4 linked regions of the Drosophila melanogaster genome follow. The protein of the gene in region 1 interacts with the protein of each later gene in a pairwise test. Each region holds a gene or a part of one and is shown in the gene's direction. Other genes may lie near its edges. The genes, in order: CG6287, Lac, Obsc and CG5149.

Evidence for each region.
Region 2: the proteins of CG6287 (region 1) and Lac interact in a two-hybrid assay, tested with the Drosophila melanogaster proteins (one large-scale study listed by BioGRID).
Region 3: the proteins of CG6287 (region 1) and Obsc interact in a two-hybrid assay, tested with the Drosophila melanogaster proteins (one large-scale study listed by BioGRID).
Region 4: the proteins of CG6287 (region 1) and CG5149 interact in a two-hybrid assay, tested with the Drosophila melanogaster proteins (one large-scale study listed by BioGRID).

What each region holds. Positions count from the first base shown.
Region 1 is NT_033779.5:11,150,962-11,157,516, reverse strand, and holds CG6287 (uncharacterized protein), read left to right. Parts: upstream 1-1,795; 5' UTR 1,796-1,915; coding exon 1,916-1,999; intron 2,000-2,383; coding exon 2,384-2,434; intron 2,435-3,952; coding exon 3,953-4,107; intron 4,108-4,962; coding exon 4,963-5,182; intron 5,183-5,245; coding exon 5,246-5,378; intron 5,379-5,490; coding exon 5,491-5,846; 3' UTR 5,847-6,011; downstream 6,012-6,555.
Region 2 is NT_033778.4:12,451,226-12,456,204, forward strand, and holds the start of Lac (lachesin), read left to right. Parts: upstream 1-1,964; 5' UTR 1,965-2,291; coding exon 2,292-2,829; intron 2,830-4,979. Other genes in the region: Dyb (dystrobrevin), read left to right, coding at 1-65. UniProt on the Drosophila melanogaster protein: Required for normal tracheal development and maintenance of the trans-epithelial diffusion barrier. Functions as a homophilic cell-adhesion molecule. May play a role in early neuronal differentiation and axon outgrowth.
Region 3 is NT_033778.4:24,011,235-24,016,055, reverse strand, and holds the start of Obsc (obscurin), read left to right. Parts: upstream 1-1,801; 5' UTR 1,802-2,194; coding exon 2,195-2,203; intron 2,204-3,017; coding exon of another isoform or gene 3,018-3,020; coding exon 3,021-3,142; intron 3,143-3,200; coding exon 3,201-3,332; intron 3,333-3,396; coding exon 3,397-3,567; intron 3,568-3,622; coding exon 3,623-3,788; intron 3,789-4,033; exon of another isoform or gene 4,034-4,102; intron 4,103-4,821. Other genes in the region: CG4324 (uncharacterized protein), read left to right, coding at 29-154, 217-288, 341-735, 798-1,083. UniProt on the Drosophila melanogaster protein: Structural component of the muscle M line which is involved in assembly and organization of sarcomere.
Region 4 is NT_033779.5:7,383,963-7,390,027, reverse strand, and holds CG5149 (uncharacterized protein), read left to right. Parts: upstream 1-1,774; 5' UTR 1,775-1,924; coding exon 1,925-2,053; intron 2,054-3,379; coding exon 3,380-3,604; intron 3,605-3,845; coding exon 3,846-4,161; intron 4,162-4,223; coding exon 4,224-4,597; intron 4,598-4,661; coding exon 4,662-4,768; intron 4,769-4,887; coding exon 4,888-4,978; intron 4,979-5,036; coding exon 5,037-5,141; 3' UTR 5,142-5,542; downstream 5,543-6,065. Other genes in the region: gudu, read right to left, coding at 1-653, 736-1,352; ninaC (neither inactivation nor afterpotential C), read right to left, coding at 5,841-6,065.

The sequences.
Region 1 (6,555 bases):
TATAACGGAACGCAGCAAACGATACACAAGCACTTCTTGTAAAAAGTGGCAAAGCAAAATGATCTATGTATTAGCTAAACCTAAATGAAATATTACTTTTTAATACTAGCATAAAGTTAAAAACAAAACTAGATACGATCCTTTGCAGCTAAGAAGGGGACAAGCGGAAAACTTAAGTTTAAATGGTCAGTTGATGAGAAGTGTGTATGTTAGAATATTGCACATAATTCACAGAACTGGTAATTCAATATATTATAATGGTATATATTAAAAAAGATACACACATTTATAGAGCTGCATATATAAATATGTATGTATGTTCTTGCCATAATTAACAAAATTTAAACCGATAAAGATACATCAGCCGGCATTTTGTAAGCGTGAAATCCAAAAACTAATTAAAATAATATTGATTAAAAAATAACTGATTATCCCAGATATTGTTAGATACTTTCTGGTAACGGAAAGGTGAACTTTGCCATGAAAATTTCATCAGATCTGATAGGAATATGTTGAAGATATTTTGTAAGATGCCTTAAATTTCTCAACTCAAGTTCTTTGAAAGTTTTCGAAAACTAAACTTGATAAATTCATATATTCCATTACATAACCTTCTAGCAGACGGACAGAGGTCTGCAAAGAAGTAAAACTGGTTTGCTTCAAAAGTATAGCAATTTTTTTGTAATAATAAACTCTTATTTCCGATTATAATAAAACAAATGAAAACCAAACCAAGCAATTTCGATTTGTTGACACTCTTGAAAACTATAAAAAAAAAACACAAACATACAAACAAGTTTTATAGCAAGCATACTGAAACTTTAAAGATACGCCTATATATAATTAAATTTAGCGGTAATAACTTCTCTACTTTTCAAAGCCACTTAAATAAGAAAAGCAAACCTTATTTTTTTAGCCTAAATAACTTATTGAACTGGAATAGAAGGTGGAAAATTTGACAAGAGCACGCATGAAATTTCCGTAATCAATATATTATTAACCAAAGATCCCCACACCGAATACCCTGGAAAGATAAAAATGAACTATTGGTGGAAATATCAACACCGCTCCCAATTTATATAGAATATTTTATACATACAAAACATATACATATTGTAAAAAATGAGAAAAACGGTAACTAAAATCCAATCAGCAATTTTCAAAAATTGTATGTAAATAGTTAATGATATTTCAATTTGTTACCTAATTATTTTGTTAACAACTTTGTAAGATTCCTTTAATTTAATGTTAAGGATGAATACCTGCCATCACCTTGACGACATTTTGTTGTTTTCGTTTTCATTTTCCGCATTCAAATGTTGTTCACAATATGTTTTTGGAAAATACGTAGTTAAATGAAAGCTAAATTGCAAATAAAAGCAAATACAATAAAAATATTAAAAATAAATGCAGTCTTATCTATTCGGCGTGAGTTTGATTATATGGGTAAGTACTTTTTTTTGAACCCTATTAGAAAGTAAATAAATGCATAATACAATTAAAGTTAGAAAGCTTGCCATATTTTTTTACAAAAGCTGAAATTTTTAAATCATTTTTAATCACAGGGTCGTCCGTGGGTTAAAATTGTTGTTTTGCGTGCAAAAATCGAAAACAACTCACACACGCACACTCAAGAAGAACAAATCGCGCGAGAAGAAGGAGAGAACTTTAAGATCCAAGTGGCGCTCTCCGATCCTCTCAGTGGTTTGGTTATCACCCAGAAAAAACAACAATCGCACTGCACCGGCGAGAGGCATTCGAAGTCAGGTTCGATGGCCCGAGAAACCCACTCTCGAAGTCAGTTCAATTTGTTTGCTCGGCGGCGCAGATCGTGAGTTGCGGAAAGTAATTGGCAAAAATTAACGCAATCTACCGGTTGTCCAGATTTTTCAGTGTATTCATTACCCACCCAAATATGCCCCTCAATATAAGAAAAGTGCTGGTCTGCGATGCTGTGGACAAATCCTGCGTGGAGCTGCTGGAACAGCATGGGATTAAGGTAAGGTTCGCCAATCCCCTGACGTGACAGTCGATTATTTGTTGGAGTAAGCAAAAGCTTACACCCATACAAGTGCTCAAAAGTACAGTGCGCCCTCGGATAAAAATACAAATAATTAAACTAAGTATAACCACACAAAAAATGTTTTTTCGACGAAAACTAACACTAAAAAGATATTAAATATTTGAAAGTCTATGCCTACAATGCAATTCATTTAAATTAAGCTATTCGATTGCTTTTACTTATCGAGTACACACTGTATGTGAATTTGCAAGCATGTAAAAGCGCTTAGAAGTGGACAAATAGAAAATAAGTGCATTTAATTTATTGCACAATTTAATCAACGTTGTTGACCATATATTTTCCTTCTTTTTTTTTGACAAGGTTACCTACAAACTAAAGCTCCCCGTGGAGGAACTGTGTCAGGAAGTTAAGGTAAGTGGCTTAGGGATTTCAGTACAGGTAAATAAGTAAATACATACACACGTTCAGATGTATATGAACGAGTTAAGTCGCTGGGATGAAAGCTTTGCGAATGATTCAAGTGTGGTTAAAAACATGTGCAACGCTCTGAGATATGGGTGCATTGTATATGTGTGTGTACATATATGATAGTACGCGTGGGCGTTACATAATAATAACATTTCAATTAGTCTGTAACTAAGCAATCTAAGCACATCAAACCGAAAGTATATTTCAAAACTACTGCAGTATGGAGATTGTATTTAACAAAATTAAAACTAATGATAAGGAATTGACCCCTTTTTTTAACATTATCATCTTTGTTATGGAATATAGAATGTTTTTACAAATCTTATTTTCCTTGTCTCCAAACTTTAAGCCTTATTGGGTTAATGGCTAAGAGAATATTTTCACCGCAGTTATAAAGATAAAATAAACAAAAACTAGAAAAAAACATTTTGTGGCTTCTTCAAATCAAAATCAATTACTCTCATAATTTATTTAAATTTGTTTTCTCTTGCACGAAAACAGCTTTAAATTTTGACAAGCATGTTTGTCTCAATTAGTTAAACCGCTTCATGTCTGTATGGGCACGAATGCATGTTTTGAATTTTATTTGATTTAGAGACGGATACTTTTAATTGGTGATTTTATTGAATAACATAAAAGCAAATTGCAAGGGTCAGAAAATAAGTACTTGACAACAAATTTTTTTTCACGTTCGCAGAGAGAAAAAGAATTTAGTCTGAACCAAATGGTTTTTATACCCGTTAGATTCTTTGAAATTTATGTAACAGGTAGCAGGAAAGCATATAAAGTATTATATATATATTATTGATTAGATTCATTGGCCAAGTCGGTATGTCCGTCCTTCTGTCCGCCCGTCTGAACGCAAACTACCACGCCCACAATTTTGACAATTTCTATCGATATACCAAAGAATTTTTGTAATTTCGCTCGTTCGCACTCCCACAAACCAAATAACGGGTATCTGCTAGTCGAGTATCTCGACTATATTATTCTCTATTGTTCATTTTAAACTGCCCAGCATTTTAAACCACTTTTCGAAATGCACTTTCAGATTTTATTCTACAAAATAAAAAAAACTATTCCTTTTAAATGGCAATAATCTGCTGTGAACAATTGGGCCAGACATTGTTATCACCATTTATTACTATCGGTCCAATAGTTCTTATCAATCAAACGGCCGATCAGACGATGTTGCCTCAACATTAAATAAATTGTTTCCAGTAGGATCACAAATTGCCGGAAAATATCAAGAGGTTCAATAATCTTAGCCAGAAACATACATACGCCAGACGAATTGCTTTTATTTATGATAAAGTACAGGTGTTAGGTGGTATCAATCACGTTTCCAGAAGAAAGCAGTAATCGATGCCATCCAGATGGCCAGGGAAATGAGTTAGGCAATTAGATGACAAATATTTATATTTACCCAGTTGCTAATTATTAAATTACACCGCATTTCAGAATTTCGACGCAGCCATCGTTCGTTCGGATACCAAAATAACCGCGGAAGTTTTGGCCGCCGGATCCGGCAGCCTGAAGGTCGTTGGCCGTGCGGGGGCGGGTGTTGACAACATCGATGTTCCCGCAGCCACAGCGCAAAATGTCGTTGTCCTGAAGTAAGTGCTCCGTAAGCCTCCGGTGCATTGCAGGGCGGGAAAAGAGTAGCCACGAACACTATGCCACAAGACCAACTTGTATTTGTAGCTGAAAGTCTGATATAGAAAGTACAAACAGTACAAAGTACTTATTTATGGTTAATTAGAGCTCTTGCCATGCAATATATTTCATGGATATTTTACCATTCTGTTTATAGTTCAAGTTGGTAAACAATTCAATCCATTTTCGGCTCCGATTTCATTTATTTGCATTTTTAAACAGTTTCTAATTTATGGAACGAAAATATTAATTAGTTGTTCTCGGAAATGAATTTATGTAGCCCTTTATGGCAGATTTATCAATTGCGAGGAAATATTACTGTTCAGTAAAATTGTGGTAATCTCAATAATGATCATAAACATGGGTATTCAAACTAGCAGTGTTTTATGGTATGCAGCGTAGTGTAATCTCCGATGGCGCAGCTCACAAATAATTATGCGCATTCCGAATCGCAGGATTGGCAGTTGATATGCCATCCCAGCCCAGAATACCCATGACTTGGGTCAATTGACGCCGTTTGACACGCATAATTAAGGGACGACGAGTGTCGATGGAGTTGCGTGGGTGTTTGGGTGGCTATGGGTTGTGGGTGGTGGGTGCTGGGTTGGCCACATCCATGTCAGATGTCCTGGAAAGCTGGAAAATTGCCATATTTCCCACCTCCCATTCAATTCTTTTTTGGCGGAATTTGCATAATGCTGTCTAGTCACAACAAACGCCACCCATTTGCCCACCAGAAACGCTCAACTTAGCGCAACAGCTAGTGTCTAGCGAGGCATTTAGGGAATGTTTAACTAAACTCTCGTCGCTTTCAGCACTCCGGGTGGCAATTCCATTTCGGCCTGTGAGCTGACGTGCATCCTAATTGGCTCCCTGGCCCGTCCCGTCGTCCCCGCCGGTCAGAGCATGAAGGAGGGTCGCTGGGACAGGAAGCTCTATGCCGGCACAGAGCTGTATGGAAAAACCCTGGCCGTTCTCGGATTGGGACGCATTGGACGCGAGGTCGCCATTCGGATGAAGACCTGGGGCATGCGGGTGTGTTTTGAATGGGGTATTTACTTATTTTGGAATTTTAATCGAACTCTGAGTGCTTTGCAGATTATTGGTTACGATCCCATCACCACGGAGGCTGAGGCCAAGGCGGCGGGCATCGAGAAGATGACGCTGGAGGAGATTTGGCCACTGGCGGACTACATAACCGTGCACACGCCGCTGATCCCAGCCACCAGAAGTAAGTCGCGCATTGATAGAATATTTATAAGAGATTAAGAGATTAACATTTAACAGCAGTATGCATAAAATTCAAGCTAAACTATATAGATTTCTTTGCTGAATCCCATCAGATCTCATATCGGCGGAGACACTGGCCAAGTGCAAACAGGGCGTTAAGGTGGTGAATGTGGCCCGGGGCGGCATCATCGACGAGCAGGCCGTGCTCGATGGCCTTGAGAGCGGAAAAGTGGCCGGCGCGGCCTTCGACGTTTATCCCGAGGAGCCGCCAAAGTCTGCGGTCACCAAGGCCCTCATCAGTCATCCCAAGGTGGTGGCCACGCCGCATCTGGGCGCGAGCACTTCGGAGGCGCAGGTCCGTGTTGCCGTGGAGGTGGCGGAGCAGTTCATCGCCCTCAATGGAACCTCGCCGAAGTACACCAGTTATGCGGGCGTTATTAACAAGGAGGCACTCGCCCATTACCAGTGAAGCAAATCGAATATTCACAACCATCAGCACATTCTAAATTCGATATTCAGCATTTATAAATAAATAAGTTTACAACCAGGGATGTAAACAACGTAAAAACCAAAATACACAAGTAAAAATAAAAAGAAGAAGAGTTTTCTTAAAATACTCTCAGATCTAAATATTTATATATGTATATTATTATTCCTAGAAAGTTACCATTTCAAGGTATCGAAATGCTACAAGGACTTAGACGAAAGCTGACTTGTTTTCCGAATTTCGTACTACCGTTTTGTATTTTGATAAAAAAAAATCAAGGCTTTTACCAGAAAGCAAGTTTAATGTTGATTTTACATATAGCCATTCAAGGAAAAGCGGAGTTTCAGTGAACTTTCCTGCCAACTTTTGTGTGTCATAATCTTCAGCATGTGCGAATACGTTCAACTGAACCAACATTGCCAGGTGAAAGTTCATTTATGGCAAAGGCACCACTTGATATTCTTAAACAATTTAACAAATTTAAAAGAGACCAGTAGTATGATACTTATTCTGATTCAATTGCAGCAGCTTAATGGAAAAGCGCTCCATTTAAAGAAGAAATTCATAAATTCTGCAACAGAATCACACAATGGGAGCTCATATAATGGACAAAAATGTATATGGAACTGTGAATTCTTTTTCCCTGGAAATGAGGAAGATATTGGCAAATAGCAATAAAAGAATATTTCCT
Region 2 (4,979 bases), on another chromosome or scaffold:
AGACAATCGATGAACTGCAGCTGATCATGCATGCTTATATCATGAAGTATAGTCTGAATATATAAAGTGTTCGTCGTAGGTTATATATATACTCTGTGATCAGGTAAAATATGCAAAATCTACTGCTGCCTCTACAGTATAGACCATCGTAGCTCGCTCGACTCACGAACTTCCACTCCACCTCAGGTAGTTTCCAGTCGGGGCTCTATCTATAGTTACTTCTATAGTTCTACAACATAGCTCATCATCATTGCTGCACTCTCAACCGTCTCTCTCTCTCTCTATATATATATCAATCAATCTCAGTCAGCTCATCCTAGTTAGTCTCTAGATTTGATTCACGTTGGCTGCTTGACTCAAAGGATTCGAATAAATTGTCTGATTTTGATTTGAGCCATGATACCGATAATACATATGCTCACCGCAAACTTGATCAATTTCAGATTTCGACGAATCTCAATCGTATAACCAAGAGTGGAATGAAAAGGTAAAGGATTTCGCCATGAAATCCTGCTCACTGTTGATCTAGATGTTGTTCTTTGCCGTTGTCTATCCTTATTTATCTATTTCTCTCTGTACATGCACTCGATATCCGAAACATAATTCGAATATATATCTATATATCCTGTAGCTAGTGTAGTGATTGCTACTTTCCAATTGCCTTGCATGCCAAAGATCTTGAGTACGATTAAAGAGAAAACATGAGGCTTCGATGACTTATTTTAATACAGATTTCTATGTTTCCACAGGCAAATGCGAATAGCCAATGGCAGGAGCAGTTTGCACAATGGAGTCTTAATTCGCAGAAGAACTAAGAACTGGCTACCAGTGGAAACCGCAGGACTGGGAATCTCCAGAGGCAGCTGGATGGATGAAGACGAATTCTCGCTTAGCTTTCTACCTTACCTTAACTCATACGTTGACTTAGAGCAATTTATTTATTGATTATTTTACTGAGCCGTAGCCTACACTACCTTAATCATTATAATTTATACTTTGAAGATTGCTATCTACACAGAAAACACAGATATGTAAACGGATATATGCATCTATATGATTATTTTACTGAAGCAAAAGATATGAATATAGCTGATAAAAAAGACTTGCAGTTGCACTGCTCTTCGAAGTCGCAAAACCATTGAATCTCGTTGAAACTTTTACGATCGTACTGCTAAAGGGCAATAAGAGGTATGGTGTTTTAATTTTAGGTTTCCGCGATTCGTAATTGGCTTTTAGATTGTGTAAGCGCCCCCGTCAGCGGATATTTATTACCAAGAAACTTAACAAATGGAAAATCAAATCACGTAATGCGTAATACAAATACGATATAGACATTGACATATTATGTACTTAATAACTAGCAACTTGTTGAGAACCTAAAATCAAATTCTAAATGCTCTACATTATATATATATATACATTATACACTTTGAGATACGATAAAGCCAACAACTATTTGAATCACATGAAAGAGAAGCCCAATGTTGAACACTAAAACGAAAAACTAAACACGATTTATATATTATCCATTTATAATATGCATTCATACAAAAAAGTTATACCATATAATCGTAACGGCATAGAGCACGATATAGAGAAAATCCGACATTTATAGAACTTATACATAACTACTGAATAAAATAACAAGAAAGAGAAAATTAAATAAAAAGGCATTTTAAACAATCACAAAGAATGAACGTTTTTATTTTGAAATGAAGTTACTAGCTTGAAATTTCATTTTAAATTTCAAATTAATTTGAGGATGCCATTGGTTCCAAGAGGAATGGCGTTGCCATCTGATTTTCGAGTGTGTGTCTCCACTTAGTATATCAACCATATGCTATCTCTGGTTTGAGTCTGAGCTATGTTGCATACCGATAACACTACTGTCTTTATTTAGGCACATTCAAGGTGCCCATCTCCAGGCAAGTTGCGCTCTTGATGGCGCACTTTTCAAAGCCAGAGATTCATTCGTTTCGCGACTTTCGAACTGTGAAGTTGTCTCTCCGGCGCGTTATCTCCGTCTTGGCCAAAACTCGTGACTGATCGAGAGAAGAAGTCTGAAACCAGCTCTGAGCGAGAAGACAAGTGTGGAGACTGCAGTTCAGCATCCGCGTTTGCTGTGCTCAAGAAAGAAACGGCAATAGTTGTCTTCGGTTTCTTGGAGACGTCTTCGCCGCGCTCTCACCCTATTTGGAGAAGATTGAGATCTTGGAGCGCAGCTCTTGAGAAACACTACATATATTAAATCGCGCGCTTGCAGGGTGTGGTGCTAAAAGTCAATTTCTAAGATGTGGCGGCCGAGTATCTCGAATTGCGTGTGGAGCACCCTGCTCCTGGCCATTTTTGTGCAGCAAACGCTAGCACAGCGAACCCCGACCATATCCTACATCACGCAGGAGCAGATCAAGGATATCGGCGGCACAGTGGAGTTCGATTGCTCCGTCCAGTATGCCAAAGAGTACAACGTGCTGTTCCTGAAGACGGACAGCGATCCCGTCTTCCTCTCCACGGGCTCCACGCTGGTCATCAAGGATTCGCGCTTCTCGCTGCGGTACGATCCCAACTCGTCCACCTACAAGCTGCAGATCAAGGACATTCAGGAGACGGACGCGGGCACCTACACCTGCCAGGTGGTGATCTCCACCGTTCACAAAGTGAGCGCCGAAGTGAAGCTATCGGTGCGCCGTCCCCCCGTCATCTCGGACAACTCCACGCAGTCGGTGGTGGCCAGCGAGGGCAGCGAGGTCCAGATGGAGTGCTACGCCAGCGGCTATCCCACACCCACCATCACCTGGAGGCGCGAGAACAATGCCATTCTGCCAACTGGTGAGTTTCTTCATTTATTTGTGGGTGATTATCTTGGGTTACGCTGGGTACGCTGGCTAAGTCAGCTTTCGTTTGGTGGGGCGCGTTCTCCACTTCTCTCTCTCCCTCTTCGCTCTCTCTCTCTCTCCGTTCTCTTGGCTCCCGCTCTCTGGTCAGGTAGCTCTGTCCGTCCCGCTTTGGCATTAGGTTTTAGCTGGGATGGCTGGGAATGGGGGCTTTTAACTGGGCTCGATGCTCTGGGCTCCAGTGTGAGTGACCGTGACTCACTCAGGCGTCACCTTAGTTTTTCAGTTTTGTTTACTCGGCTTGGGCTGGCTGTTCTGGTAAACGGGGTCTAGCCCTGCCCTGCCACCCCCCACCTGTTTCGAGGGCTGAGTTTCGCAACAGCAGATTGATTTTTCATTTTAGGCCGTTTTCCAACTTCTGTCGTTCGAAAACATACACATGCTACCCTTTGTTTACCTTGTTGGGCCTTAGAAGATTGTTTCGCAAAGAGGTCTAACCAAATAACAAGGGAAAATCTAATTTCTAGCAAGTTTGTTAGCTCAAGAATACATTAAGTTGTGCGAAAAAGTTTGATTGTTATTTAACTTAGCAAGGAACTCAATTCTAGCTTCTCTCTTTCTAAATCCATTTTATTATTCATTACTTTTGAAGAAATCAGCACGTACATATGTATGATATTTGGCTTTTGTATAAATACATGTTCTTTTGATTATTAGAATAATGTATCATCGATATTTGCGCAAAATGAAATTTCTTATCCATACACTTGACGAGTTTGGAAAAACCCAAATGGGGGGGTTATATATGTACATGCCAGAAATAATAAATTTATTTTTCTTCACCTTCTTTATGTTCCTCCCATTCCAAGAAAACGGTCCATATTTCTCGGGAAACTCCGTTTCGGACAAGTGCAAATGCTATCTACAAATTGTTTGCGTTTACTTGTCCATCCAGAAATTCTCGAAAGGAAGAGAAAAGCTAATAAAACACTAAAGTAATTTGGTGCCCAGGTAGATGGAACAATAGAATCTTCTCGCTAGGTTAATCCCATACAGGTGCTGCTGTTCCATAGCGATCTCGATGCGATCTTTACCTGAACTCCGACCCTCGGGCAAAACATAATGGCTGTCCTTAACAAGATTGCAGCGTCATTTGGAAAGCAATTAGTGTAACTAATCCGAGAGTTACTCATTACCCAGAACCGACTCGCGGACACACCCTACCTGGGCTTCGTTACATCCGATAGCCAGCTTAATTCCCGGGGCTTTGTATCTATCAGCTATCAGCTTCGGCTTGTGCAATCTTTAATTGCCACGGCATTGAGGGCTCCTTCTGTGGGTTCAAAACAAAAAAATGATGAAATAAAAACCAGGCGTGCCCCGCGTTACAAGCTATAAAACCCAACCGCAACCAGTTGGATACGCTCCACGGCTGGCCAGGAATGGCTTAACTTTATTCCGCCATAAATCAAAGGGCTCCGGGTTTGAGGTCCAGTATTTGCCAGGAGTTTCACACTTTTCCACGCTCTAATTTAAAGCGCTTAGGCAAACAGCACAGTTTCACGTCCAGCAGCGCTTTGAAATGCGCCAACGAGCCGAGTCAAATGTTTTCCAAGGGCTATCGTCGTTGGGGGAGTTGCAGTTCCGAGGCCATCGAGGACATAGAGGTGTACACAGAGGTGGGCGTGACGAGGAGCTCCGACTGCACAGCCTTTGTGCCGCTTTTCACGTTTCGCATTTCCATTCCCATTCGAGTTTCTGAGGCATTCGACAACTTCAGCACGCGCAATTGCTTCCGCAACTTGAAAACGTTCCACGGACCGTTTGATGGTCTCCGGGTCTCCTCATCTGCGACTCTGCGACTCTGCGACTCCGGGCAAACAACCCGTGCAAAAACGTTGCGGCAGAGGGCTGTTTCTTACACATCAGACACGGTCTGGGCTTTTGGGTGGTATAAAAAAATGAAAAATGAAAAAGCTGAAAAATGAAACTCAGAGGTGGAACGAGTAAACAGCAAACATACGCAAACAAAGGGATCCTGAGAGCATGGCAAATGGGCTGCGCCCCCTGCAAAAGAATCTCCCAGGCCCACAACCCTGGGTAACACCACACCTCCTCCCCTTCCCACCATTCGTATTGCTCGGC
Region 3 (4,821 bases), on another chromosome or scaffold:
TTTATTGAATATATTGTACTGGTTTCAGTGCTTCTGGGCCTTGGGAGCTTGCTTTGAAGTGGTCCTAGCACTGGTTGTGTATCCCTATTACGGATGGCGAGGTCTCTTGGCCCTTTCGGCTACACCCCTACTCATTTTTACCATCCTATCGCCGGTTCGTATTCCTCGCTCTCTTCAGAAATATCCTTAATCAAATGTATCTTTAAATCACTACAGTGGCTCAGTGAATCGGCTCGCTATTACTCTTACAACGGTCACAATGATAAGGCCATCAAGGTTCTGGAACAGGTGAGTGGTAACTTTATGGAGTGATTATACGTCTAAAAACCTACGATTGTAGATAGCTCACAACAACAAGCGCCACATGCTGATGGGTCGGCTGATGGCCGACGACGAGCCCAGTTGCGCGGAGAGCTTTAGATCCCTGCTCAGCCCGAGCCTGTACAGGACCACCATCCTGTTGTGGTTCCTCTGGCTGGCCTCGGCCTTTTGCTACTACGGCCTGGTGCTGGTCACGACCGAGCTGCTGGTGGCCAGGAACAAGGAGAGCCATCCCAATGAGTGCGTCACCTTCATGACCTCCGACTTTATGGACCTGCTGTGGATCACCCTGTCCGAGTTTCCTGGAATACTGCTGACCATCAAGGTGGTCAAGCTGTTTGGCAAGAAGAAAACCATTGTTCTGCAGTACCTGGCGCTGGTTCTGTGCACTCTGGTGCTGATGTCGGTGGAAAGGTAGTAGTGGTGCACACTCAATTGATCATCTGATAATCAATCCAATCCTCCTCCAATCCTAGTCGCTTCTCCACTTCCGTAACCCTCTTCATTGCACGCGGCACGATATCCGGCATCTTCCAGGCCATTTATGTGTACACTCCGGAAATATACCCAGCTGCCTTGAGATCCGTCGGAGTTTCGGGCTGTTCCGTGCTGGCCAGACTCGGCGCCATGCTGACCCCTTTCGTGGCGCAGGTGCTGATGGACTCGTCCAGAATTCAGGCCATGTCCACGTACGCAATCGTGGGCCTGCTGGCCTCCATAGCCTGCGTCTTTCTGCCCAGGGAAACTGTTGGCTACCACTGAGTGCACTGATTACCATAACTTATTATCTATAACTACTATTAAACCCATTAGTCCCTAGAAGCTGTGTGAATGTTTCATTCGGATTGCCTAGTTTTAGGCTTAGCGGGCTAGTAGTAATCTAAAAAGTCTAGAATAGATTAAGATGCTTCTAACAAGTAACAAAGCTCCTAAAGGGAAAGCTCTAGTCTAGCATTGGCATAAATACTCAGTTGAAGGAGGTGTTACTACTAACTACCCGTTTGTGTTGGTCTAATTGGTGACTAATCTCAACTTTGTAGGCCAATTTCCTCTTATTTATGATTACATTGCTGACAGGTGACAGGAGGAAGTGCAGTTGCAAATTAATTAAACAAGCCAATATTTCTGACCATAAACATTGCGAATAACGTATGGGATCGTATAAATAACTTCGTGCCCGCGCATATATTATAATACTTAATTAAATATGTATGCTGGCGCACTCTGGGTGCCGAAATCTATATGCACTCCTCTGACAGCCATAAACTTTCAGACCGTCCGCTCTGTTCGGCATCTAAGCACATGGCTATGCACATGCAGATGCAGATGCAGATGCAAATGCAGATGCAAATGCAAATGCATTTGCAGATACTGATGGGGATGCGGATGGCGAGTGCGAGGTGCATGGGCATGGGCATTATTTTTAAATTGTGAAACGATGTTCGAGGGGAGCTTTTGTTGTGATCGGCGAATATCGATCAGTCGTACAGTTGTCGGGATGCAGTTAGAATCATTGGTATCCGCACGCAGTAGCCAATATTTCTCACGCGACCGCAGTTTAAATTTAAATCTATTCCACTTTTGAATCGGCCTGGCCCGCGGAAAGGCGGAAAATTCCTCGACTTTTTCAGTTATGACAAGCGAACTCGAGAGTGCCCCGTAGACTAGTCTTCGTAGTTTTCGATACTGGGCTAATGCCGATAATGCCTTAAATCCAGTGCAAATCCAGTGCATTGAAAATTCGAAACGAAATCGCCCCAGTAATAAGTTATGCAATACATTTTCGAATTCGTGCCAATGTGCGTGAGTTAATCAAGTGTGTGAAGTCGAGTTAATCGAGTGATACAAAGTCTTAATATTCAAATCAGCCGGAATGGATGCCGTAAGTTATGCGTGTCCGGAAAATACACTATAGATCGGTCTCTATGAACATGTGCCAAATTTACTTATTAATACTTCTGGGCAAACCAGATGTACATATGTACATACATTGTGTGAGCAAAAGCTACAGTGGACGTCCTTGCTAGGAAATAGCACTTAGTCAATGGTTTTTTCCAACTGCAAAATGTGAATGTAAACTGGTTAACCAGCTAGTGACGAATAAAAGTGCAATTTTATTTAGTTTAGTTTGAGTGCTTCAAGATGATGATACTAGTGACCTTAAAACCGAAGGACCCTAATAGTATCTTATACTCGGTGCACAGATATTTTCCTCTCGAAAGTGAAAGCCACCTCTGACGCGAAGTGGGTTAGGATCCATCTTGTGGTTCCACTGTGGTTCCACTGTGGTCTCGGATCATTGGCCCGAAGTGAAGAGCCCTGTTCGAGGGAACAAATCGGGGGATCAGCTGATTCGGCTGCACAAGCTTTGCACTCAGTAAAATTGGACATCGGAATAAATAGCCGAGCCCGCGTGTCTATGTCAACGCAAAATAGACTTTCAGCTAGCGGGCTAAATATTGCTCAGCCACTTTTGTTTGTGAAATAGCGAAGTCGAACGCGTCAAAAGATCAAATCGATATCGCACCAATTGCATAAACCCTAAAAAAACTCACAGATCTATAACGATCTATTTGGGATATATGTACATATATTTTTGTGTTGAAGTATCGAAATGGGTGATAGAAATGTGTGTGTGAACCAAGAGAGTAGCTATAGAAAAGAAAGTTCGTACTTAAGATATCGGTTCTACCCAGCAGGTGGCGGATATCGTGTTTGTGAGTCGGGACTACCAGGCTCAGTCGCTGGCCACGGACGAGATCAGCGTTTCTCGCGGGGATCTGGTCGAACTGATAAGTTCGAAGGCATCCGAAAAGTCAAGGTGAGCGATTGAGTTCATCGAGAAGTGGTATGGTACTCTAGTGCAGTGAGTTTTCCAGATGCTTTGTGCGAATGTTCGATAGCGGGGACTCCCCCAAGGAAGGCTGGGTGCCCATCGATATACTAGAGTTCAATCCCACCATGAGCAGTTCGAATGGCAAGGAGAGCGGCGATGCGGAGTTTAGGAAACTGTAAGGACTTCAACTCACTCCATCCAGTTGGACAGATAGATACTAGTTGTAATGGCCGTTGTAGAACCATTCTCAGGGAGCTGGTGGAAACTGAGGAGGAGTTCTCCAGGGATCTGCTCCACGTGGTGGAGAAGTACATCAAGGGCATCGACAAGCCGGTGGTGCCGCGCTCCGTGCGGGACAACAAGGATATCATATTCTGCAATTTCCTGCAAATCGCCGAGTTTCACAACAAGTAAGAAGCGAATGGGGTGAACTGGAGTACACGAAGTTAACACTTGGATTTTCAGCGTGCTGAAGGAGGGCCTCAAGTGCTACAGCAACCAGCCGAATATGGTGGCCAAGACCTTCCTGCGCCTGGAGCGGGACTTCGACAAGCATGTGGTGTACTGCCAGAACGAACCATTGGCCCAGGACTACCTGGGCTCCAGTCCCGATGCCAAGAAGTACTTTCAAGTGAGTATCCCGGGCAGTCGAGCGTATCCAGATTGCTTTCCCATTTCATTCTGCCATGTCGAATGCCGCACCAATGCCCCCGACTATTGCAATTGTGGGCAGAAATCAAAAGCAATTGAGAATTGAATAAACTGCGAGGCTGAGTAAGTGTGGAATCGTCTTCGAATATTATGCGTGTGCTGTGTGCGAGAATCGGTTTATTTTTAAAGGCAGACGCTTTCGAATCCAAAGCTTTTGCAGTTTTCAGTTGCTTCCGAGTAGTGTTCGCGGTCGTGTCGTGCTAATTACTCATATACGTAACCGTTTCGCCTAAGGTACTTCAAGTTTGTCCCCTCTGACTGGACCCATCTCCATGTAGTCCTCCCACTTTTAAATCTGAGATAAATGCGGATAACGCACCCCCCCCCCCCCACACCATTCAGTGAAATCCTGGCCACTGTGCGAGGCCATTCGGTTGAATCCACCTGACGTGATGGAACTCCACAGCCGATCAATCGAGTTGCTGGAAAAAATATCAATTTCGAATCGATCCGTGAATACTTGTGACTTTTCGCCCGTTATGCAACATTTCCGAAATTTTACTGTGCGAGAGTGTATTTATTAAAAGATACGCCAATACGTATACATTTATAAATATATGCATGCGAACAATTTTTCCTCAGCCCACATATTTCGACCTCAGATCTAAAAGTGTTTAAATATGTATATACTGGCGAAAATATTGTAACATTGACTTTAATGAAATTCGTTTCGAAATTGGTTCAGCAGTGAATATTCGTGGTTGATGAATACGAGCATATGAATATGAAATGAGCACTCAGCTCATTCATTCTCGCAGAGTGAATAAAAAACGAACAAACATTTCAGTAGCAGTATTCATTATATACACACATAGCCTTCCAAAGCGAAGTACAAGCACACATACATATGTACATATAGACAATCATTCACCGACGCACGCACACGTATCCGTTTTTGCAACAAGTGATAAATTTTTAAACATCGTTCCAAAAATAACCCCAAACGCGAGAGG
Region 4 (6,065 bases), 3.8 Mb from region 1:
CCATTGCTGGTAATCCTCCAGCCTGACGCAGTTGCTCCCTATTGCTTTGAAATCTCACACATTCAGATATAGCTCCGGTCACGTTGGTCAGGACCTCGTCACACTCATCATTTAGCAAGGCCACCAGGTGGTTCACCGTCCTGAGTTGATCCAGCACTTTGACATTTGCATCGGTTACGGCACACATCCAAATCGCTCCAGTGGCGCCTCTCAATAAAGGCTTATTTTCCCTCACATTCTTGTCCTTTATGATAGTTACCAAAGGTTCCAAGCCCCCAGCCTCCCTCACCAAATCCCTGGTGGTTCCGTCGAAGGCGCACTTGTAGATCGCTGTACTGCCCTCCATCTTCAGCTCGGTATTTTCGGAACTCAGATGGCTCACAATGTCGGGAATCATGCCCTCGGTGGTGATGGCCAGTTGGAACTTCGGCTCCGAGGAGCACTTTCGAACGGTGCCCATTATGGGAATGACGACATCGATGTGACAGGACTTAAGGAGCTGAGCCATCAAAGGAACAATTCCGCTCTTGCGCATCTGCTCCATGTTGTGCTTGGAATCGGCCAGAGTGAAAAGAGCCCGGGCTCCAGCGCGTGTCATATCGAGAGATTCCAGATCATCTGGACTCAATTGGTCACGAGGCGTCTTTAGAATGCTATAATATAATTAGGTTTTTTTTTAATTATTTCTTATATGTGGTGATGTAGTATGAAGCACTTTATCCAATGCCAACTCACCTCAACTTGATGTCGATGAGATCCACCAGCTTGGGGATTCCTCCGCAGGTGCGCACATACTTTCTGGCCAGTCGCACCTTGCACACATTGGCCAATGTCTCGGCGGCCATGGTTTTTAGGTCCTTCATGGAAGAGTTTAGGATGTCCACAATGAGGGGAATGCCATCCAGATCTACGATGGTCTTCCTAATATCGATGTTCAGTGTGATATCTGAGAGAACTTTGAGGGCGCCCAAACAGCACTTGGTGTCGCTGCACTCCAGGATGTTAACCAAGACATCGAGTCCGCCGATGTCCGAGATGGCGAACTGATTGATCTGGGTGCTCAGATCGTAGTCCTTCAAGCAGCACAACGATACTATAGTGGCTGTCTGATTGCCCGCCTTGATGTATTTCACCAGTTTTTGGATATTATAATAGTCAGCCGGAATCTCAGCGGCTCGCGCCACTTCCTTCCAGCGTTCCTCCTCATCCGTAGACGATTCCACCTCCGTGGTATCCGAGTCCTCGGCGGCCACCTGGCGCTTATCCTTTGAGAATCTGTTGGGACAGGATCCGCACTGTTCTTTCTTCTTTCGACTCCGATTGTGGGACGTTCCGCTGCTAGTGCCAATCATCCTTTCGCGTTGGATTACTCACAGATTTGGCCAATCGTATTCCGGAAATATCTGTCGGTATGCCAGCTTTCTTCAGTTTTGTATCGGAATTTATTGTGTTTTTGTGTGGGAGAACTTTATTAGGCCAGGCAATTGATTTAATAAGGCGTGTTGCTAAGGTAACTGAGATAATTTCAAAAATACCGGGCTAGGGCAAAGGTATCTTAGCTCAAACTTGTAAGTTTTTTTTTATTTTAATAAATTTTTAACTACAGCTATCCAAGGCATTTAAAATTTATTTTATTCGCTTGGCCTTCGTTGAATTCGCTTAGCGGTTAAAATTAACCGTTTAGCAAATACATCGACCTGACTTAGCACAGACAATAACCATTCATAGTGCAGACGACCACCGCGAAATTTACCCGTTTCCGAAACTATCGAGGGTATCGCAGGGAAATCGACTGCCATTCCATCACCAGCTTGTGTTGTTTGTTTTTTATTTTCAATTAAAATCCGCGATCATCCGCAGCTGCAGCTGCATTGTTTGTTTACCAGCCGTCGTAGCACCAGCCAACTGAATTTCGTGTCCTGAGATGGGAAATGCGAGTGGCAAGCGGGAGACGGATAATCTCTACAATTCGGAAGAGCTACGCATGCTGGAATCCGCGTACAAAAACGCCTCTGGCGGAGCACTTGAGAAGTTGACCCAAGACAGATTGGTGGTAAGTCAAGTAAATCCAGTTACCGTGCCACGTGTGCACTGCGAAAATCAATGGCAACTGCATTCTGCATTTGCGGAAGGGTCAGGGTCACAAGTTCAAGGACGCGCGGAGTGAACTTTCTTCGGCAAAAAAAGAGAAATCGGGACTTTCGAGTGCATGACAAACGGCCGTCCATCCACCTGCTGCGATGGCCACCCTTCACTTGAATGGGTATATCCTTTAGGGCATTAATTTGTTGTTGTCACTAACTCCTATTTCGAGGATTAAACATTGAAGTTAATCATAGTACTATGTTCCGAAAAAGAAGCTTAGTTATATAAGAGAGTGAGTCGCAACATTATCCGGCATTATACAAAAGTTCAAAGTTTCTAAACCTTATTTTAATACAGTTCTTTTTCGATTTAAAGTGCAAACCAGGAAATTTAACAGAGTTTATAAAAAGTAAATTATTCAACTTGTTTAAAAATGTAATTTTCTAAACTAGTCAGTCCTATTTAGATTAAATGTACACGTAACTTTCCAAAATTGTTATTTTAACCCATTTAGTTAAATCAATCTGATCATACACAATTTATGCTATAATTTTTCCGATGCGGGTTCAAGGCCCCAGATTTGTGTTTTATTTTTATCACAGCACAGATGACGGAAATGCAACCACTCAAAAAATGTTTGTTTGTAACCAGATGATGATTTTTCCTTATAATATTTCCATCTATTTATAGCTCGTGTTTGATTATCACAGCGCTTCCTAGGGTATAGCAAAATTCGATATCTTCAACTCGGGCGTTATCAGTTTCGAATTGATAATTCCTGGGCCAGTGCGAACGTGTCCATAATTTGTCTAATTTGTTTGCTGCCGCATTTCACTGTTTGTCTTTTGCTTTGTTGAATTTGCTTGCTAACGAATTAGTCGTGATTTCAATGACTGGGGTCGTCAATTAGGGCCAAACCCAATTGAATTAAAAATAAACCATATGCTTAACCCGTTTACAGCATGGCATGTGAAATAGTTGATTTTTAGAATGAGGAAATTATAAGACTTGCATTCATATAGAGTAATTTAAGCGGAAACTCTCTAAATTGAAACTTTACATACATTGAAGTAGTATTTATTTTCATAAAACTTGAGAGACTTTGTTTTCAGTCAAACCAAATTATTATTCATTGTACGTCCTTCAATGGGTTAATCTGTGTCAGCGCTTCCCAGACCTTCGTTCCCTGCAAGAATTTGCTGACAGCAGCGGGAAAATTATGTTTACGTATCCGGCGCGCATTTTGTTTATGTACACACATATACATGTATCTGTTGTTTTGTTTCGAAAATAGGAAACTTGGTCGCAAACCATCGAAAGATCCCTGGCCGAAAGTACGGCTCAGTATCTATTTACGCCCACGAAGCCAGGTCAGCAATGTGTCAACCTTCAGCTGAAGAAATTTGGAGAGCCCTACTACATCATGGAACGCGGTACTATTGACCAGAAAATGCAAATGCTCCTGGGCTCAATGGAGAGAAGTGGAAATGACACCTTCAACAGCAAGCAATTGGAGCAAGTGAGTCTATAAATAAGTAGTCATTGTCATCAGATCGCGGAAATAATATTTATAACTTCTGTCAGCCGAGCCTCATTAGGATTCATAACATGTTTGTTATTGAATTAGGTTTAGCTCTCCATTTATGTTTATCCTGAAAACTAGATTTCCACGTTTATTTTCTTAGCTGTCATATGAACAACTTGTTTATTTAATTCTTTTATCTTTTGCTCGCGAATTAATCAATTTTATAATTCCCCAGTATATCTACTCGGTGATCAAGAGCTACGTGCACTTGGAAAGTACAGCGAAAAACTCTGGCATCAAGGAGTGGCACGATCTTGGCTTTAACACCACGGAAAGGTCCGCCGCCACATTTGCCAAGGGCCTTATGAGAAATCTGGGCAAGGAGCTAGAGCACACTATGCCCAACGATGCCCTGGAACGTTGGTTACACGTCACTCCGCAGTTTTTGCAGATTTGGCGCGAGGTCTTTAGCCAGCTGTATTGTCGCCATGGTGGCAGCAAACGCAACATAATCAAGGAAATGGAAATTCCAATTCTGCCAGCACTGTGTGGTAGGACAAAGAAAATTTTTAAATTTATTAAAATCGTTTATAACTTTTTTCCTATTTTCCAGATGCTCCGCAAAATAGTCATTATCGCCCTATCATCGAACTACCTCACGTCCTGTATATCAATGCTCAGCTGCCCCGCGAACATCGGCACAAATGGCGCTTTCTATTCTCATCGAAAATCAACGGGGAAAGCTTCTCGACGATGTTGGGAAAAGTGCTGGACAAAGGACCAACGCTGTTCTTTATTGAGGACGAGGATCAATATATATTTGGCGGCTACGCGTCCGAAACGTGGTCCGTGAAACCGCAATTTGGAGGCGATGACAGCTCATTGCTCTACACCTTAAGCCCTGCCATGCGGTGCTTTTCGGCCACAACTTATAACAATCACTATCAGTATTTGAATTTGAATCAGCAGACTATGCCGAATGGCCTGGTGAGTAATGTTTATAGCTAATTGATTGATTGCTTTGCTAAATGTTTATATTTTTCGTATACAGGGCATGGGCGGTCAGTTTGATTTTTGGGGCCTTTGGATTGACTGCAGTTTCGGCGATGGACAAAGCGTTGAAAGTTGCACTACATATCGAGACTACGTGCAGTTGAGGTGAGTGTAAATTAAAATCTTGATTATGTTTCACCTTACAGACCACTAGATTCTATATTTTAATTCAACATTATTTTAAACAATTGTGGTTAATCTACCAATTATTTATCGTACCCAAGTAAACGGAAACAGTTCAAAATACGAAACATGGAAGTTTGGGCCGTAGGAGACTTACCAGTTAAAGAAGAAGACGAAGAAGGCGACGGTCACGTATGTCAAATTAAACTCAATATTATATTAAATAAATAATCATATCTTTAACCCATAGAAACGTTCTGTGCTGGATGGCAATTTGGAAGATCGGGCCATGTTGGAAATTGCGGGCAAGAAAATGCACTCGGATGGATTGCGTGAGCCCAACATGGATGATTGATATTATGTGAAACTATTTAAGGAAAAAGTTTTGTTTTATCATCGAGAATTTGTGAGACCATGCCCGATATGGGTGTGCAGTTAATGATTCAATTCAGTTTCCTTAGCTTTTTTGCAATCCCTATCGAACACACAAAAAAAGTCCTGCGAACAAAAGAGTATTTGTTCAATCCATTCCTATAAACGTTTTTGTTTAGGTATTAATGTTTATATATACAATGTATAATGGATATAGTTTATGAAATACTGAGAGTATTGTTGTTGCGTTTTAGATCTTAAAGTGAGAAAAGTAAATCATTTAAATGATGTAACAAAGAAGCAAGCATAATAAGCAATGTTAATTCGTCGAATTTTTCCCATTTTTATCCTACGTCAATAAAATGCAAATTAATTGCTGAATTTATATCAATGTCTTTAAAGTTAAATGTTTGAGTATGCCAAGGTAGCATTTACCTACAAATAACCTAAATAATTAAGTGGTTTATAGAGATAGAAAAATGAAATGCGGTAAGAAAAAAGTGAAAATTTAAATAACGATTTATCCCAAGACATTTTATTTATTCCATTGTGTGAAACGTTTTTGAGAAAGTGATGAAGAAAACTTCAATCATTATTTTGGAATTTTAGGTGGGTTTTAGCTAAATTGTCTTATGGTTTGCATAACAATTAATTTTAATATTTTTACTCTTAATCACTAGTTTTAGATATCGACGGCATAGCCTGAAAGAGTGATTCCAGGTGCAATCTCCTCTTCTACATAGGATCCTGCCTCCTCGAAGGATCTAGCATTGCTATCTTCGAAGCTGCGACCCACGCTGGCTGGAGATTGTCTCAAGGTCGGAGCCCTCTGCTGCTGGCCAAACTTCCTAGACACACCATAGTTTCCCGATGATGAATTATAGCCCTCATCGTCTTGGTACCGGCG